Pelodiscus sinensis: one gene and its partner. The protein of the gene in region 1 purifies or fractionates together with the protein of each later gene. This does not show direct contact. Links are inferred from orthologs where the notes say so. Each region holds a gene or a part of one and is shown in the gene's direction. Other genes may lie near its edges.

What was found. The genes of interacting proteins can lie anywhere in the genome.
Region 2: the proteins of MECP2 (region 1) and YBX1 purify together in Homo sapiens (affinity purification with western blotting; 3 studies listed by BioGRID, with this or other methods). This does not show direct contact. The link is inferred for Pelodiscus sinensis from reciprocal best matches to the Homo sapiens genes MECP2 and YBX1.

Annotation. Positions count from the first base shown.
Region 1 is NW_027465896.1:71,171-80,761, forward strand, and holds the start of MECP2 (methyl-CpG-binding protein 2), read left to right. Parts: upstream 1-5,739; 5' UTR 5,740-5,857; coding exon 5,858-5,892; intron 5,893-7,830; exon of another isoform or gene 7,831-9,591. UniProt on the Homo sapiens protein: Chromosomal protein that binds to methylated DNA. It can bind specifically to a single methyl-CpG pair. It is not influenced by sequences flanking the methyl-CpGs.
Region 2 is NC_134733.1:3,157,456-3,167,253, reverse strand, and holds the start of YBX1 (Y-box-binding protein 1), read left to right. Parts: upstream 1-5,777; 5' UTR 5,778-5,937; coding exon 5,938-6,094; intron 6,095-6,455; coding exon 6,456-6,519; intron 6,520-9,798. UniProt on the Homo sapiens protein: DNA- and RNA-binding protein involved in various processes, such as translational repression, RNA stabilization, mRNA splicing, DNA repair and transcription regulation.

The DNA of each region.
Region 1 (9,591 bases):
GGGGGTTTGGACCAGGGTCAAGAGTTAGGAGCACTCTCAGAGCTGTGGGGGGGGGGCAAGGCTGGGCTGGCAGGGCCATGGGTCAGGAGTGAGGGGCACTAGCAGGGTCCCAGGGCTGGGCTAGCAGGGTCGTAAATCGGGAGTAAGATGCATCCGCCAAACTGGGGTGGGGGGCTGTGCTAGATCAGCAGGGGCTATGGGTCAGGAGTGAAGGGCACTGGTAGCCCAGGGCTGGGGTGGCAGGGGCTATGGGTTGGAAGTGAGGTCCCGGCAGAGCTAGAGTGAGGGGGGGGTCGCTGGGCTGGTAGGGGCATTAGCATAGGGGGCTCCCAGGGCTGGACTGGAGGGAGCTGCAGGTCGGAGTAAGGGCTTGGCAGAGCCTGGGGAGACCCAGGGCTGGGCTAGCCAAGGGCCATGGGTTGGTACTGCGGCTTTGGGTATCACTTTCTTCTTTGCTGTACCACTACCTGTGGCATTGTGACCCCCTGCCCCACATTCCTTGGCTTGGGATGAGGAGGAAGGGTGCCAGTTTTAGCACTTTCATCAGCGCTGGGCATGGGAGAGGACGGGCTGGGCAGAGGTCCAGGAAAATCAGGGCAGGGTGCACCCTGCAGGAACTGAGGGCAGGTAAATCCCGGCAGCCCCGCCTTGCGGGTCCCTGGTTCAATCGTGGGGCCAGCCACCCCGGCCAGGCCCTAACACCCAGGCTCCAAGGTGGGGGGGGTTATAATCCCTGCCTCCCCAAGGGGACTGGGAGCATGGGCAGAAATTAAAGTCAAGGGGATTATCTTGAGGCAGCTGTTGTGAGGCCAATTAAAGCCCGGCTCATCTCTCATCGCGCTTCCGGGGGGGGGGGAGCAGCCCCCCCCCCCCACTTCTCACCTACCTGGGGCACAGGCTGGCTGGCTCAGAGACAGAGTCTTTCCCCTCGGGGGAGCGTCAGTCGAGGGGATACATTTGGGTGTGGGGCTAATGGCCCTGGGGGCAGCTGCATGTCTGACAGCATGGGTGGGCCCTTTCCCTGACCCAGAAAACTCCCTTCTTATTCTGGAGCCAGGGAGAGAACCCAGGAGTCCTGGCTCCCAGCCCTTTGCCCAGATGCCTCGTGCCAAGCATGGCCCATATAACGGGAGGGCCCAGCAGAGATGGGAGAGCGGCGCCCCCTGCTGGAGGGCTGGGGTGGTTACTGACCAGACAGCGGGTGCCCTGAAGACCAGATGGTAGGTTGAGGGCCCAGGCTGTGACAGTCCATGGGCTGGGGGGGCACATTTCTCATGCACTGACACAATGCCTTCAGCCATAGGTGGCTCAATAGGGTGCCCCACGGCTGCCCACAGGGTTGGGGCTGGAGCTAGCGCAGCTGCGATTCCCCGCTGAATGGCAGGAGGTCTTTGGCCGCAGCCTCTGCTGCTGAGAGGCCAAAGCAGCAGGCGGGGGTTTGGGCGTGAGTCACGAGTAATGGGGGAGAGCAGGAGAGGGGCATGGTGGACTCGGGGGGTGGCTGTGGGAGAGAACAGCCTTGGTATGACGGGGTGGCCATGGAGTGATGGGGAGGCCAGGCTGGGCGACTGAGAGAGCTGTGGCATGACGGGGTGATCACTTTGGGGAGAGCGGGGAGTCATGGCAAGGCAGCCACCTTGTGGGGGCTTTGGCATGAAAGGGAGGCCAGCGGACGAGGTGGGGGGCAGCCAAGCTGGAGAGCTAAGTGGCCTTGGCATGATGAGAGGACTATGTTGGGGGCCCAGTGCGGATTTGAAGTGACGGGGGGCCATGTTGTGAGGCCCAGGGAGGCTCTGGGGTAGCAAGGTGGGTAGGCTGGGATGCTGGGGAACGGCCATGATGGGGCAGGCAGGCTGGAATGTGTGTGCGGGTAATGGGGCAGGGAGGCTGGGATGCCAGGCAGGGCGCTCTGATGAGGCAGTCAGGCAGGGATGTGGGGGAGGCTGTGATGGGGCAGCATGCGAGATGGGGGGCTGTGATAGAGCAGGCAGAATAGGATACAGGGGGGGGACTGTGAGGGATGTCGGGGGGCTATGATGGGATGCCCAGGCTGGGATGCGGGGGGGCGGGTTCGGAGGGGGTGTCCAGGCTGGGATGCGGGGGGGGGGGGGTGTTGTGAGGGGGCGTCCAGGCTGGGATGAGGGGGGGTTGTGAGGGGGCGTCCAGGCTGGGATGCGGGGGGGGGGGTTGTGAGGGGGCGTCCAGGCTGGGATGCGGGGGGGGGGGGTGAGGGGGCGTCCAGGCTGGGATGCGGGGGGGGATGTGAGGGGGCGTCCAGGCTGGAATGAGGGGAGGGTTGTGAGGGGGCGTCCAGGCTGGGATGCGGGGGGGGGGGGGTGTGAGGGGGCATCCAGGCTGGGATGCGGGGGGGGGTGAGGGGGCGTCCAGGCTAGGATGCGGGGGGGGGGTTTGTGAGGGGGCGTCCAGGTTAGGATGCGGGGGGGGGGTGTGAGGGGGCGTCCAGGCTGGGATGAGGGGGGGATGAGGGGGCGTCCAGGCTAGGATGCGGGGGGGGGGGGTGTGAGGGGGCGTCCAGGTTAGGATGCGGGGGGGGGGTGAGGGGGCGTCCAGGCTGGGATGCGGGGGGGGGTGAGGGGGCGTCCAGGCTGGGATGCGGGGGGGGGGGTGTGAGGGGGCGTCCAGGCTGGGATGCGGGGGGGGGGGGGTGTGAGGGGGCGTCCAGGCTAGGATGCAGGGGGGGGGTGTGAGGGGGCGTCCAGGCTGGGATGCGGGGGAGGTGTGAGGGGGCGTCCAGGCTGGGATGCGGGGGGGAGGTGTGAGGGGGCGTCCAGGCTGGGATGCGGGGGGGGGGGGTGTGAGGGGGCCTCCAGGCTGGGATGCGGGGGGGGGTGTGAGGGGGCGTCCAGGCTGGGATGCGGGGGGGGTGTGTGTGAGGGGGCGTCCAGGCTGGGATGCGGGGGGGGGGGTGTGAGGGGGCGTCAAGGCTGGGATGCGGGGGGGGGTGTGAGGGGACGTCAAGGCTGGGATGCGGGGGGGGGTGTGAGGGGGCGTCCAGGCTGGGATGCGGGGGGGGGTGAGGGGGCGTCCAGGCTGGGATGCGGGGGGGGGTGTGTGAGGGGGCGTCCAGGCTGGGATGCGGGGGGGGTTGTGAGGGGGCATCCAAGCTGGGATGCGGGGGGGGGGGGGGTGAGGGGGCATCCAGGCTGGGATGCGGGGGGGGGGTGAGGGGGCGTCCAGGCTAGGATGCGGGGGGGGGGGGTTTGTGAGAGGGCGTCCAGGCTGGGATGCGGGGGGGGATGTGAGGGGGCGTCCAGGCTGGGATGCGGGGGGGGCTGTGACGGGGCGTCCAGGCTGGAATGAGGGGAGGGTTGTGAGGGGGCGTCCAGGCTGGGATGTGGGGGGGGGGCTGTGAGGGGGCGTCCAGGCTGGGATGCGGGGGGGGGGTGAGGGGGCGTCCAGGCTAGGATGCGGGGGGGGGGTTTGTGAGGGGGCGTCCAGGCTGGGATGGGGGGGCTGTGAGGGGGCGTCCAGGCTGGAATGAGGGGAGGGTTGTGAGGGGGCATCCAGGCTGGGATGCGGGGGGGGTTGTGAGGGGGCGTCCAGGCTGGGATGGGGGAGGCTGTGAGGGGGCGTCCAGGCTGGGATGAGGGGGGGGTTGTGAGGGGGCGTCCAGGCTGGGATGAGGGGGGGGTTGTGAGGGGGCGTCCAGGCTGGGATGCGGGGGGGGGATGTGAGGGGGCGTCCAGGCTGGGATGCAGGGGGAGGTGTGAGGGGGCGTCCAGGCTGGGATGCGGGGGGGGGGGGGGGTGAGGGGGCGTCCAGGCTGGGATGCGGGGGCGTCCAGGCTGGGATGCGGGGGGGGCGTGTAAGGAGGCGTCCAGGCTGGGATGCGGGGGGGGCGTGTAAGGAGGCGTCCAGGCTGGGATGCGGGGGGGGGTGCAAGGGGGCGTCCAGGCTGGGATAAGGGGTGGGGTGAGGGGGCGTCCAGGCTGGGATGCAGGGGGGGTCTGAGGGGGCGTCCAGGCTGGGATGGGGGGGGGTTGTGAGGGGGCGTCCAGGCTGGGATGAGGGGGGGATGAGGGGGCGTCCAGGCTAGGATGCGGGGGGGGGGTGTGAGGGGGCGTCCAGGTTAGGATGCGGGGGGGGTGTGAGGGGGCGTCCAGGCTGGGATGAGGGGGGGATGAGGGGGCGTCCAGGCTAGGATGCGGGGGGGGGGGGTGTGAGGGGGCGTCCAGGTTAGGATGCGGGGGGGGGGTGAGGGGGCGTCCAGGCTGGGATGCGGGGGGGGGGTGAGGGGGCGTCCAGGCTGGGATGCGGGGGGGGGGGTGTGAGGGGGCGTCCAGGCTGGGATGCGGGGGGGGGGTGTGAGGGGGCGTCCAGGCTAGGATGCGGGGGGGGGGGTTTGAGGGGGCGTCCAGGCTGGGATGCGGGGGGGGTGTGAGGGGGCGTCCAGGCTGGGATGCGGGGGGGAGGTGTGAGGGGGCGTCCAGGCTGGGATGCGGGGGGGAGGTGTGAGGGGGCGTCCAGGCTGGGATGCGGGGGGGGGTGTGAGGGGGCGTCCAGGCTGGGAAGCGGGGGGGGGGTGTGAGGGGGCGTCAAGGCTGGGATGCGGGGGGGGGGTGAGGGGGCGTCCAGGCTGGGATGCGGGGGGGGGTGAGGGGGCGTCCAGGCTGGGATGCGGGGGGGGGGTGTGAGGGGGCGTCCAGGCTGGGATGCGGGGGGGGGGGTGTGAGGGGGCGTCCAGGCTGGGATGCGGGGGGGGGGGTGTGAGGGGGCGTCCAGGCTGGGATGCGGGGGGGGGTGTGAGGGGGCGTCCAGGCTGGGATGCGGGGGGGGGTGTGAGGGGGCGTCAAGGCTGGGATGCGGGGGGGGGGTGAGGGGGCATCCAGGCTGGGATGCGGGGGGGGGTGTGAGGGGGCGTCCAGGCTGGGATGCGGGGGGGGGGGGTGAGGGGGCGTCCAGGCTGGGATGCGGGGGGGGGGGTGTGAGGGGGCGTCCAGGCTGGGATGAGGGGGTGTGAGGGGGCGTCCAGGCTGGGATGCGGGGGGGGGGGTGAGGGGGCGTCCAGGCTGGGATGAGGGGGGGATGAGGGGGCGTCCAGGCTAGGATGCAGGGGGGGGGTGTGAGGGGGCGTCCAGGTTAGGATGCGGGGGGGGGTGAGGGGGCATCCAGGCTGGGATGGGGGGGCTGTGAGGGGGCGTCCAGGCTGGGATGGGGGGGGGTTGTGAGGGGGCGTCCAGGCTGGGATGGGGGGGCTGTGAGGGGGCGTCCAGGCTGGGATGGTGGGGGCTGTGAGGGGCCGTGGCGGGGGTAGCCATGTTGTGACGAGGCAGGCGGGGCGCCGGGTGCCCAGGGCCGGAGTGGGGGGCTGCGAGGCCCAGGCAGTGTCCGGTGCCGCTGGCGGAGGGGCCGGGAGCTGCTGGTGTGCGGGGGTCGCCAGCGGGCTCGTCTGCGCCGGGAGAAACCGCGAGAGGAACGCACTGCGGTGACGGCTGAAGAGAAAAACCGTTTAAAACCGTTAAATTTCAAATCTCCGTAGCTTGAGGCCTCTCCCCGCCCCCTTAGTAAAGTGAGGGATGGGCCGCCGGACCAATGGGCGAGGTGAGCGGCCGCCAGGGCCCAATCAGGATCCGCGCGCGCTCCCACGGGCCCCACCCTTTTAGAACGTTGTAACTGACAGCGCTTCCCGCCAATTCCAACGGCCGCCGGGAGCGCACCGGCCCCGCCCGTCGGGGCCAACGGCGTAACCAATGAGCGCGGGGCGGCGCATTGAGCGACAGCGGCGGCGCCCAATGGCCGCTGTAGGGGCGGGCTCTTCGGTCCGGGTTTCCTCTCCGGCTCGGTCTATTCCCCCCCGCCCCCCCTCACTCCCCGCGGGTTCTTCGCTGCGAAGAAAATGGCGGCGGCGCCGAGCGGAGATGAGGAGAGATTGTGAGTGACCGGGGGAGGGAGGAGACAGTGGGGGACGGGACCATTCGGCCCCATCCCGCGGGGGGAGTCGGACGGGCCCATCTCGCGGGCCCCGCGCCAGCAGAGGAGGGGGAGCGCGCGCGGGGGGCTGTGGCCGTTGGTTCCTTCCCGCTCGCGGCGGCCCCTCCTCCCCCTCCCCTTCGCGCGCGCTCGGGGGCCCCGAGTGCGTCACAGCGGCCCCCGTTGCCCTGGGCGGGGCCGCCCCTCACCTGGGGGTGTGGAGGGAGGTCAAAGGTCAGCTCGCGCCAGCTGGGCCCCTCGCGACGCCCCCGCTGCCAACGGTTCGCGCCCCCCGCGCGCCAACGGCCCGGCTCGCGCCCCTCCCCCCGCGCGCCAACGGCCCCTTTGCCGCCCCGCGCCCACCTGCCCCGCCGGCCCGTCACGCCCCCCGGCCCCGCCCCCGCCGGGGACAGCGAGGGGCCCGGGTCCTTCTGGCGGGGCCCGGGGCCGGGGGGGGCCTGGCGGGGACACGGGGTCGGGGGGGGGGGCCTGGCGGGGACACGGGGCCCGGGGTCGGGGGGGGCCTGGCGGGGACACGGAGCCGGGGGGCCCGGGGTCGGGGGGGGGCCTGGCGGGGACACGGAGCCGGGGGGGGCCTGGCGGGGACACGGGGTCCGGGGTCGGGGGGGGCCTGGCGGGGACACGGAGCCGGGGGGGGCCTGGCGGGGACACGGGGTCCGGGGTCGGGGGGGGGGCCTGGCGGGGACACGGAGCCGGGGGGGGCCTGGCGGGGACACGGGGTCCGGGGTCGGGGGGGGGCCTGGCGGGGACACGGAGCCGGGGGGGGCCTGGCGGGGACACGGGGCCCGGGGTCGGGGGGGGCCTGGCGGGGACACGGGGCCCGGGGTCGGGGGGGGCCTGGCGGGGACACGGAGCCGGGGGGGGGGGCCTGGCGGGGACACGGGGCCCGGAGCCGGGGGGGGCCTGGCGGGGACACGGGGCCGGGGGCGGGCCTGGCAGGGGCCCGGGGTCGGGGGGGGCCTGGCGGGGACGCGGAGCCGGGGGGCCCGGGGTCGGGGGGGCCTGGCGGGGACACGGGGCCCGGAGCCGGGGGGGGCCTAGCGGGGACACGGGGCCCGGAGCCGGGGGGGGCCTGGCGGGGACACGGAGCCGGGGGGGGGCCTGGCAGGGGCCCGGGGTCGGGGGGGGCCTGGCGGGGACGCGGAGCCGGGGGGCCCGGGGTCGGGGGGGCCTGGCGGGGACATGGGGCCCGGGGTCGGGGGGGGCCTGGCAGGGACACGGAGCCGGGGGGCCCGGGGTCGGGGGGGCCTGGCGGGGACACGGAGTCGGGGGGGCCTGGCGGGGACACGGGGGTCGGGGGGGGCCTGGCAGGGACACGGAGCCGGGGGGCCCGGGATTGGGGGGGGGGCCTGGCGGGGACACGGGGCCCGGGGTCGGGGGGGGCCTGGCGGGGACACGGAGCCGGGGGGCCCGGGATTGGGGGGGGGGCCTGGCGGGGACACGGGGCCCGGGGTCGGGGGGGGCCTGGCGGGGACACGGGGCCCGGGGGGGGGGGCCTGGCAGGGACACGGAGCCGGGGGGCCCGGGGTCGGGGGGGGCCTGGCGGGGACACGGAGCCGGGGGGCCCGGGGTCGGGGGGGGCCTGGCGGGGACACGGGGCCGGGGGCCCGGGGTTGGGGGGGGCTGGCGGGGACACGGGGCCCGGGGTCGGGGGGGGCCTGGCGGGGACACGGGGCTGCCGTACCTGGGAGCTGAGACCCTGCGCTGTGACACCGGCCTGGGCTGTGCAGAGACCTCCAGCCAGACCCCTGCCTCATCTGCTTGCTCGCCCTTGGGGGTCCAGTGCTTGCAGACGGGGGTCAGTGCGCTGGCAAACGGGCTCTGTGTCTTTGGACTGGGAGAAGTCCAGGCAGTAACAGCACAGGTAGCGCCAAAGAAGAGCAGCTGGCAAACCTCCTTGCCCCTGCTCACCGCAGGCTCTTAAGAGGTCATTGAAACATTACATCCCACCCCAAGGGGCACAACCAAGGGCTGCAGGTGCATTCCTGGTGGGGTGGTCTCTCAGGAGGGGTGTACCCCACAGCTTTCCCCATGCCTGCCCCAAGTGTCTCAAAAATCAGATCAGTGTCAGAATCACATGCTGTTTTCGTCCCTGCCCAAATAGTGGGTCCCTGGGCAGTTTGTGCTGTTGTGGGTCAGGATTCTGGTGGGGCTCTCTGGACTTGAGAGTACTGGAGGTCAATTGAAGTGACTCCTGGGGCTTGGGTTGCAGGACTTGTGATGAATGCCCAAGAGCTAGCTGCCGGCGGGGAAGAGGACTCGACCAGAGCATTGTGATGGGGGTGGGACTGATCCAGGTCGAGAGGATTCTGGTGTGATGGGGGAGCCCCTGAGATTTGTCAGCAGCAGTAAGGGGACTGCCAATTTCGGTTGAGGGAGCCCATCCATCGTGTGACATGATGGGGGGCCCCCCATCTCAGAGTGGGCTTGCTTGGCACAACAGGGCCCCCTCTGGCTACTGCCGTGCCATACTAGAGATGAGTGTGTGCATTGGGGAGTAGCCCTCAGTGTATGTTGGTGTGTTAGCTGCACTCATGGTGCCTCATGGGGAGGGAGCAGGCACTGACTTGCTGCACGTGGAAGGCGGAGCCCCCTTGCTGAAGGTGGGTGGGTGAGACTCGGGAACTAAACCCAGGCTCCTGGTGGCGTTGGCCAGGATGCGGGGATTGTATTTTTGGAGGCTGAAGGGCTGCTGACCACGTACGGCCTCTGCTGTACTGAGCAGCCAGCGTTGTTGTGTCTGTATTCGGAGGGATTGCCCTGCACTGTTGTCTGGATTGCTGGGGGAGGGGTCTTCATGTGCAGGCGGGGTTCCACGGCTCACTTCTTCTGCTCCAGGTGTGAGCATTGCTCGAAGATGCTCTGACTTGTGTCCAAAGCTTAAGGTTTGTCCTTGCCTGCGGGCTGACCGTAGCCTCCGCTCACCATCCGTAGCCCCACACGTGGGGTGAATTTTGGCACCTGGGCATTTCACTGGGCCAGACGCCCGTCCCGATGTCGCAGAGACCGTGATTCTGAAGATGCTCCTATGAGGCAAAGTGGAGGGGGGGGTCCCTCTAGGATTCCCCAGGTGTAAAAATCTGTGGCTGGGTGAAAGTATTGGGTGGGGAGTGGTTGGGGGTTGGCTGGACAAGTAGTTGGAGCCTCCCGGGTAGGAGGTCAGACCTGTCTCTCTTGTGAGCTCACTAGGAGATGGCTTGGGGCTGGGGCCTGCTGCTTTGGAGGCTTCAGGGGAACCTCGACAGCTTCTGGTTTTGCTCGTACCACGGGGGACTTGAGTCCCAGGGGTGCTCAGTTAGTGCTTATGAAAACCAGGCTGGTGCCGGCTCAGATCTGACTCGTGTTCACTCTGAGCCCACCATGGCCTGTGCCTCGCCTCTGTCCTGCCACCACTGCACGGAGTTGGTGCTAGCGCTTGGAAGCCGCAGCATGCCTTGGAGTACCTCTCTGGAAATGCACTTTCGGAGCATGGGAGAAATGTTCCTTTCCCCCTCCCCAGTCATGAGGCTGAGGATTGAAAGCAGAATGTTAACATTCTTGTGTCCGTTCCCCTGCGAACAGCGTTTCAGGGTCGGTGCCGCTGTGAACCTGCTCTCTGCCGTGGGGAGACGCCGGGAGTGGAAAGTGAAAGTTGCTTGA
Region 2 (9,798 bases), on another chromosome or scaffold:
GAAGGGGAAAAACGGAAACTAAGAACAGGAGAGAACAGCTACTGGAAAAAAATAATATTTTTTTTAAGAATCAACAGGGAAGAGAACAATAAGGGAAAGGAGCAAGAAACGTCTCACAACACGGAGCGGTTGAAAAGAGGGAGAGCACAGTTCCTCGTGTCTGCAGCCTGAGGCGGTCAAGAGGAACTGGCGGGGGCTGGACCGCGCACACAGAGAAAAGAGTGAATGCCAAGAGTAGTGACGCATGTGTGGTCCAGCCGAGTACTACTTCTGGAATATTCTCTGTCTGCGGCACCGGGGCAAGCCCAGCACCAACAGTGGAGCACCCGCAGGGACATCCTTGAAAAAGAACACTGCACTACACTATTACATCTCTACTCCAGCCCCTAATCATTTTTGTTGTCCTTCGCTGTACTCTTTCTAATGAGTCCATATGTCCACATTTAATGGGGGGTTCATAATTGGATGCAATGCTCCAGGTGTGGAATCACCAATGCTGAATAAAGAGGAATAATCACTTTCCTAGATATGCTGGCAACGCTCTTACTAATGCAATCCAGTAGGCCCTTAGCCTTCTTAGCTACAAGGGCACCCTGTTGACTCATATCCAGATGTCATGTTTTGGATTTTAATGTGACCAGGCAGATCACTGTTGCATCCACTGTTGTGTGTTTGCCCCAAATTCTCTGCAGAGTGGGCCATATGAGGTGTCTAATGTAAGCTTGTGCTATGCTGATTCTGTCTATGCTACTCATATACTTATGAATATGGGCTCTGTATATATTTTCTGTCTAGGAGACAGCAGTAGGCATTGACCACAAATTGCGGGTGGTGGTGGCCCAATGAATAGTGAATGCTTCATGGGCAAAGGCTCGTAAGTGTTGCCAATTGACACCTGAGGAGCATACAATGGCCCTTTGCCTCGGGAGCACATACCTGGATACTCCATGGCTTCCTGCCCATAAAGGACACGGTGATCATGTGATCAGCTCCATTTTGGGAGGTACCATTACTCAGGAGAATAATGGATTTCTCTTTGCATGGACAAGCTTATAACAGTATCCTGGGGGTGCCTATATCTTTGTCTTCACTCTCGCTCTCTGCTCCAGAAGCACCTTTGCTGAGGACAGAGAGCCGGGAAGGAGTGTTCATAGAATCATAGAGCTGGAAGAGACCCCAGAAGGTCATCAAGTCCAGCCCCCTGCTCTAGACTAAATCAACCCGGCCAGGGCTTTGCCAAGCCGAGACTCAAACACCTCTAGGGATGGAGACTCCACTACTTCTCTAGGTAACCCATTCCAGTGCTTCACTACCCTCCTAGGGAAAGAGTTTTTCCTAATATCCAACCTGGACCTCTCCCACCACAACTTGAGACCATTGCTCCTTGTTCTGCCATCCATCACTACTGAGAACACCCTTTCTCCATCCTCTTTGGAATCTCCCTTCAGGAAGTTGAAGGCTGCCATCAAATCCCCCCTCACTCTTCGCTTCTGCAGACTAAACAGACCCAACTCCCTCAGCCTCTCCTCATAAGTCAGATGCTCTAGCCTCCTAATCATTTTGGTTGTCCTCTGCTGGACCCTCTCCTACCTTTTTGTAGTGGGGAGCCCAGAACTGGACACAATACTCCAGATGTGGCCTCACCAAAGCCAAATAAAGGGGAATAATGACATCTCTAGATCTGCTGGCAATGCTCCTCTTAATGCAACCTAATATGCTATTAGCCTTCTTGGATACAAGGGCACACTTTTGACTCATATCCAGCTCCTCATCCATTGTAACCCCCAGGTCCTTTTCTGCAGAACTACTACTTAACCGGTTGGTCCCCAGCTTGTAACTATGCTTGGGATTCTTCCGTCCCAAGTGCAGGACTCTACACTTGTCCTTTTGAACCTCATCAGATTTCTTGTGGCCCAATCCTCCAATTTGTCTAAATCACTCTGGATCCTATCTCTGCCCTGAAGCGTATCTACCTATCCCCCAGCTTAGTATCATCCGCAAACTTGCTGAGAGTGCAATCCATCCCGTAATCTAGGTCATTAATAAAGATATTGAACAAAACCGGTCCTAGAACCGAACCTTGGGGCACTCTGCTAGAAACCGACCGCCATTCTGACATCGAGATGTTGCTCACTACCTGCTGGGCCTGGCCTTCTAGCCATCTTTCTATCCATCTTACCGTCCATTTATCCAATCCACATTCCCTTAACTTCCTGGCAAGAATGTTGTGGGAGACCGTATCAAAAGCCTTGTTAAGTCAAGGTATATCACATCCACTGACTTTCCCATATCCACAGAGCCAGTTACCGCATCATAGAAGCTAATCAGATTGGTCAGGCACGACTTGCCCTTTGTGAATCCATGCTGACTATTCCTAATCACCTTCCTTTCTTCCAAGTGCCTCAAAATGGATTCCTTAAGGATCCCTTCCATGATTTTTCCAGGGACCGAGGTAAGACTGACCGGCCTGTAGTTCCCTGGATCGTCCTTCTTCCCTTTTTTGAAGATGGGCACTACATTTGCCTTTTTCCAATCATCCGGGATTTCTCCCGATCTCCACAATTTTTCAAAGATAATGGCCAAAGGCTCCTCAATGACATTTGCCAACTCCCTCAGTACCCTCGATGCATTAAGTTGGGACCCACAGATTTGTATACGTTTAGCTTTTCTAAATAGTTCCTAACCTGTTCTTTACCCACAAAGGGCTGTCCATCTTCATCCCATCTTGTGTCACTTAGCGCATTAGTCTGAGTGCCCACCTTGTCCATGAATACAGAGGCAAAGAAAGCATTGAGTATTTCAGCTTTCCCCACATCATCTGTCACTAGCTTACCTCCTTCATCGAGTAGGGGCCCCACACCCTCTCTGATCACCTTTTTCTTGTTAACATGACTGTAGAAACCTTTCTTGTTATCCTTCACATCCTTAGCCAGTCGCAATTCCATTTGCGCTTTCACCTTCCTGATAACCCCCCGGAATTCTTGAGCTAGACATTTAAACCCCTCCCTGGTCATTTGTCCAAGTTTCCACTTTTTGTAAGCTTCCTTTTTGTGCTTAAGTTCACCAAGGATTTCTCCTGTAAGCCAATCCAGTCTCCTACCATGTTTGCCTCTCTTGCTACGCATAGGGCTGGTTACTTTCTGTGCCTTCAATAAAGCTTCTTTAAAATACTGCCAGCTGTCCTAGACTCCTTTCCCCTTCATGTTAGCATCCCAGGGGATTCTGCCCATCAGGTCTTCGAGGGAGTCAAAATCCGCTTTTTTTGAAGTCCAAGGTGTGTATTTTACTATTCTCTTTTCTTTCTTTGGTCAGTATCCTGAAATCTACCTTCTCATGATCACTGCTTCCCAGGTTGTCACCTGTTTGTCCAATGTACATAGCAGACGGACACTTTCGGCACATGATAGCATAAATTATATTTCTGGATGCGCAGGAATGTGTGTTCTTGATCTTATAACTCACTTGGTTAGGTCCAACAATGGTATCAGCAGAATGAATATGTGGACAAAGCTGGCAACGGGGTTTGTTGCAAGGGAAGGTACCAGGGTTGGTCTTAGTGTGGTATGTCCTGTGGTTGTTGGTAAGAATCATCTTGAGGTTAGGTGGTTGTCTATAGGAGACTATGGGTCTGTCTCCCAGAGCCTCTTGGGGTATGGTATCCTGTTCCAGTGTTGCCGGCACACAGTGCCCGAGGGGGGCAACAGCTGGGTTTGTTGCCCGGTGTGCGCGCTCCAATAAACACACCGGTGTGGAGAAGCCAAAAAAAATTTATTTGAACGCTCAAATAGGTTCCAGGAGACATCTCAGGTCAGGCACACCAACGTAAGCAGTTTTCCCTCCTTATATACCCAGGTTGTTTACTTGCAGGAGAATAGTGAACTGTAGCAAGTTTCCCAGGCTGGGACATGCTGCCAGTCCCCCTCCTCCTCCTCTACAGAAACACATCTGAATTCTTCTTCTATACCACTGATAGTAACTAGGCAACTTTCAATGTCTTGCTGTTCCCAGCTGTTAGCGAGCTAGAGAAAAGTTATGTCTCGGGGGGGAAGGGGGCTTTTAGGGTGCTTGGGCCTAGAGCGGGGGCTCTTCATCGATCCTTGTGATCTTCCACTCCCCCGAGTTACCTAGGATCATGCCCAGTGACTCCAACACCAGTATAGGCTGTAGCTTATTGATAATGTGTTGGCCCCTTGGTAATGAATACACAACAGCAGGGAAATGCACGGTTCTGAGCAATTCTTCAATTCTTCAGTCCACTTAGGTGGAGTTGTAGAGGGTGTGGCTCACAGCCTAATATCATGGATTGGACAGCCAGGGGAGCAGATCACATTGGCAAATAGGAATATCCTTTTAGATCATTTATGTACAAAGCAACTTCCATCTCCTAGCACACACAGCAGTGATACAAGCTACCTGTAAAAGCGGCGAGGAGTCCTGTGGCACCTTATAGACTAACTGAAGTGTTGGAGCATAAGCTTTCGTGGGCAAAGACCCCCAGGACTCCTCACCGCTTTTGCAGATTCAGACTAACACGGCTACCCCTCTGATACAAGCTACCAGTGGAGCAAAAAGCACTGTTGGGTCCTAGTCCTGATTCTCACAGTCTGGATCTTCAATTCTACTGCCATCAGCCAGCCTCTACCACTGTCCAGCTGCTCCTGGTGGTGGAGGGCCTTGGACTCACAGCCCTGCCCTCTGCAAGCAAATGCCTTAACCCCAGCCCACTCCACCTCCCTATCTTCCAGGGGGTCCCTTATCCTGCTTTCCTAATGCAGGAGCTAGGTTAATCCCTGGGGCAGACGGTGTTAGCTGCCCTGTTGCTGGGTGGGTGGGTGTGGGATTGAGCCCACCATCTTGTGCTCCAAAGGCTGAAGCCCTAGCTCCAAGTTCACTGTAAATCCCAGTCCACCCCCCTACCTTCAGTGGGTCCCTTATCATGCTTTCCAAATTGGAGAGCTGGCTCCATTCCTGGGGTGGCCTGTGTTAACTGGCTATATTATTCTAGCTAGAAACCATCTTCCAAGCCTAGAAGTGCTCAGGCCTCAGGGGACTTCTCTCAGACTGATGGGATCTGCTCAGATTCACATCAGGGCCCTTCAAGGAACATGTGTGAAGGTGCTTCATATGAGACAGGAATAGTGTGTGTGTGTGTGGGGGGTTGGAGCTGGGCTGAGAGACATGCTGGGGGGCTTCTGGGGGCTAGGCTGGGGTGTGCCGGTTTTGTACCAATAGCAAGGTGGCAGTCCTATTTGCCAGCGAGAAGGCAGAGACTTCCCCTTAGACTGGGCGCCGCGGGGCTGTGTGCGGAGGCGAGGGCCAGGCTGCCCCAGCTCCGACCTGAGCACGTGCCCCTAGATAACTGCACGAGTTCAACCGAGGCCACGTGCTCCGGCCCGCGCCCTTCCGCTCCCTCCCAGGTGCAGAAGGCGGGATCACAGGGATGCTGCACCAACCACGCTCCAAAAGGGAGGAGTAACGAACCAGGCCGAAACAAGTCCCGGCAGCCGTGATTCGTGCAGCCAATGGGTGTACGCGTTGTATGATGGGCAGGCTCGACGGCCAATGGGCGCTAGCAAAAATGTGGCCGGGATAAGAACACCTAATAACGGAGCGCGTTCTATGATGGGCGAGAGCCACAGCCAACGGGTGTGACAAGCCCCTGAGGGCGGATTTCTAAAAGCCAATGGGTTTGCACGATCCGTGACGGGCAAGCTCCGCAGCCAGTGAAAGAGCTAGTGGGCGGTGCGTGCTGGGTGGCTAGCCGGTGCGGGCCGCCATTGTGGTCAGTTCGATCGGTATCGGGAGCGGAGAGCGGAGCCCAGCGAGCCCGGAGCAGGGAGCAGCCCCCCCCCCACGGCCGGCCCCAGTCACCATCACACTGCGGGAGGCGGCGCAACAGCCAGTCACCACCACCGTCCGCACCGAACAGCCGCCGCCATGAGCAGCGAGGCCGAGACCCAGCCGCCCGCCGCCCCTCTTCCCGCGGCGGCGCCCACCGCCCCCGCCGAGTCCAAACCTAACGGCGGCACAGGCAACGGTGGCAGCGGCCTGGCCTCGGCGGCGCCCCCCGCCGGCGGGGACAAGAAGGTCATCGGTGAGGGGGCTGAGGGGGGGAAGGGGAGGGGTCTGTGGGCGTCATCCCTCCTCCCCCGCAGGAAGGCGCGAGACCCCTGTCTGGTGCGCGCGCAGTGGCCGTTAGGCCCCCGCGCGCCGCTTGAGCCGTTGAGCCCCGCGTGCGGCGGCGGATGGGGGCGGGGCGGGCGCGGAGCCACTCAAAATGTCCGCCACGCGGGGCCTTTGTGTGAAACCCGCTTAGCCACGTGCCTGCCCGGGGCCCCCGGCGCGCGGTGCGGTGCGGCCCGGCCCGCCTGCCTCGCTGAGCCCGCGGTGGGGAGCCTGGCTCGGCGGCCCTGCGTGGGCGGGGCGTCACGTGACTGTCACGTTTTCCCTTTCAGCAACGAAGGTTTTGGGAACAGTAAAATGGTTCAACGTAAGAAACGGCTACGGCTTCATCAACAGGTGAGGAGCAAGGTGCCCAGGGCCAGGCCTGCGCCACGTGCGCCTTGCCCGGGGGAGGAGCGGCCTCAGCTGGGACCGTGCCTCTGTCACGCTGCTCGCCGAGCAGGCCCCCTCTGGCAAACGGCTTAGTGCTGAGGTGACTCGCCTGGGGAATGCATCTGACGAAGTGGGTCTTTGCCCACGCAAGCTTATGCTCCTACACTGCAGTTAGTCTATAAGGTGCCACAGGACTCCTCGTCGCTTTTGCAGATTCAGACTAACACAGCGACCCCTCTGATACTGGCCTGGGGAATGGGTTTGATGGCTGCTGCAGACCTTCCCCAGGGGGACGGTTCACTCTTCATGCCTCTTTCCCACCCAGCGCTGCTCTCACGAGGGTTGCTCTTCCAAATCCTTACTACTGAGTTTTCCACGAAAGCAGATAAGAAATCGAATGGTAGTAACGCCCGGTATCCCTCCCTAGAACAGCACAACTAAGACAGTGGGCTGTCATCATAGCCTCGTGTTTTGACATGTGGCCTGACGTCTGCAAGTGTTGTTCTGGTTGAGATTCTGGGTGGTATTTCCATGTAAACATTGGATCAGAATGAGATTATAGTTTCTGTAACCTTTTCACAGGTATTGTAGGGAATGTGTGCGATTCGAACATGACCTGACCTCCTGTCCCATTGAGCTTTTCACAGAAGCAATAACAGTTAAGATAGGTGTCCACTCTGTCTTCTAGATTTATTGTCTTGAAGTGTTTTTAATAAATTGGTTTCAATGGGGATATTTACTCAGTGTTGGAAGTAGTTTGATTTTTCATAGTTATCATTCTTTGATCCTTTAAGATGGTTTTTAAAGGTATAACACTTTGGTTCATGTTGTGTGTTAATACTTGTTTGATTCTAAGCTGTGTATAAATGTATACAAGTGATAAGCCTTAATAGCAGACTTAATTAGGTATTGATATTTGCATTAGTATTTTCAAAATTCATTTGACTGTAAGTTGGGATTGGTCTTGCCTAGAGCAGGAGGCTGGACTTGATGACCACCTGAGGTCTTTTCCAGCTCTATGATTCGATAAGCATAGTAATTTACACTGAGTTTACTTTAATTTTTAATTATTGTGCTCAGAAATGTCACTTAGAGTATGCTCTGTTTTCAGTGCCAACTGAACTATAAAGAGCATGCTGACTTACAAAGGTCTGGGTCAGTAGCTTTAAACTCATTTGGTTAGAACTTTTGTGCAAAGTTGGATTTTTAAATATCTTTTAAACACTATTACAAGGAACTTCTAAGATGGTCAATACTGCAAAAAGCTAGAATTTTCTGTATTTTGGAATTTCTTAACTTCGTGCATTTGATAGCACTTCATTTAAATACCATTTTCACTGTTTGCTTTATGCTGTCAATTAGCAAGGGAGACTGAGAAATACCTTATAAAATGCTGCATTTTAAATAAAACATTTTGCACAAGGGGTTTTCTGAATGAATTTTAAAATGTCAGCGTATGTTTTCTAAAGAATTGTCAGAAAATTAAAAAAACTGGATATAGTGTAATGTACTCAAAGTATTCTGTTGAAGTTTGGAATATTTTAAGAACTGTTAGTCCTTGTGATGGAATCTCTTGAGTGACTCAGCAGAGGTGCTTTAAGTGCTGGGTGCATATTAATAAGATGCAAAGTTCCTTTACAGCTCAATTCTGGAAGTTTTCTGCATGTAGAGCTCTCATTGAAGGCAGTGGGTGTTTTGCGAAGAGGTGGAGAATAATGCCCTTAGTTATTCTCCTTTCCTCCTTATTACTTTTCATAATCCATTTATTGTTTTGAAAGGTGTACAGTAGAACCTAAATTATTTGGGAGGCTCATACTATCTGAACCTGTCACTCAAGGTCATGTGAAATAACACAATAAGCAATTATAGACAACAGTTGACTTTATTGTACAAATAAGATGTTTGTTTACTTTTAGTGAGCCAGAGTGCACACACTTCAAGCTGCTTTTGCTAACTTCTCTTAATAGGATATGTAGGAGCTAGTGTTGACAAAGCAAACTACTTTGAATTCCTTATTCATCCTGGGTGCAAGTGCAGTGCTCTGATATGTTCATAAAGATGGCTGGATTATGTAAAAGATCAATATGTAATTGGCTTTGCGCACACATAATTCAGAGTTCCCTCTAAGATGCATGGCTTTGTAGGTGCCTGATGAGCCAATGGAAGCTATTGTGGAGGAGGGAAAGGTGCCTTTTCCCTGGTTGCAGTAGCTCCTTGCTAAGACTGGAGGAGAAACACATTCTCCTGGCTCCAGCAGCAGGGCTAGATTAAGAATGGGGCTTTAGGAGCTGCAGCCTGGGGCCCCATGCTAAGGGGGAGGCTTTTAGTCCAGGCACCTGGGCTGAAGCCCTTTTAACCTCTGTTTTATGGGCCAGTCCTTCCTGGCAAAGGGGAAGGGAGTTGGCTCTGCGTGCTGCTGTCCTCTGTCCCTGCAAATCCCTCACCTGTGAGCCCCAGCTCCCATTGGCAGCGAATTGTGGCCAATGGGAGCTATGGGGCAGGTGCTTGCAGGTGTGTGTGGAATCATCTGTTCATCCCACTATAAAATAGGAGTTGCCTCAGGTAAGTATCCCTTGTCCCAATGCTCTGTTCCAGCCTTGAGCCCCTTCCCGCATCCTAACTCCCTGACCCTGCATCCCAGCCCAGCATTCTGCCTTGAGCTCGCTCCTACATGCCAAACCCCTAAGTTGGAGCCTCCTGCACCCTAAAAGCTTCATTGCCAACCAGAGCCCTCACCCCCTCAATCCTGAGCCCCTCCAACACTGAATCCTCAGCCCCATCACAAATTGCCCCTGTGTAGAATTAATTTTATGTGCACCATTACGGAAGTAATGTGTTGCACATTACCTCCACATTGGTGCACATAAGAAAATTCATTCCATATACGGACAATAAAAAATTAGAGGGAACAATAGTACAGTTTATATTTCTGGACATTCATACTGTTTAAGTCAAGCAATATTTATGTGCAGCCTTTTAATTCTGTGGGTGAATCTTAAACACCAGACCAATGATGTTTAAATTGTAAATTCTAACAACTCTTGATCATTGCATAGGGTTATATAGTCTACTTGTAGGGAAAAGCTTCAACAGTTACATTCATTAAAGAAAATGTCACTATCAGAAAATGTAAATTAATCAAGGAAATCACAGCACATAGTTAAAAGACTTCTTTTCAAAATATTAACTAATATGAGTTGGGCAGTTTTAGTCCCTTGATCCTGTTACTTTAATGGGAAAAAA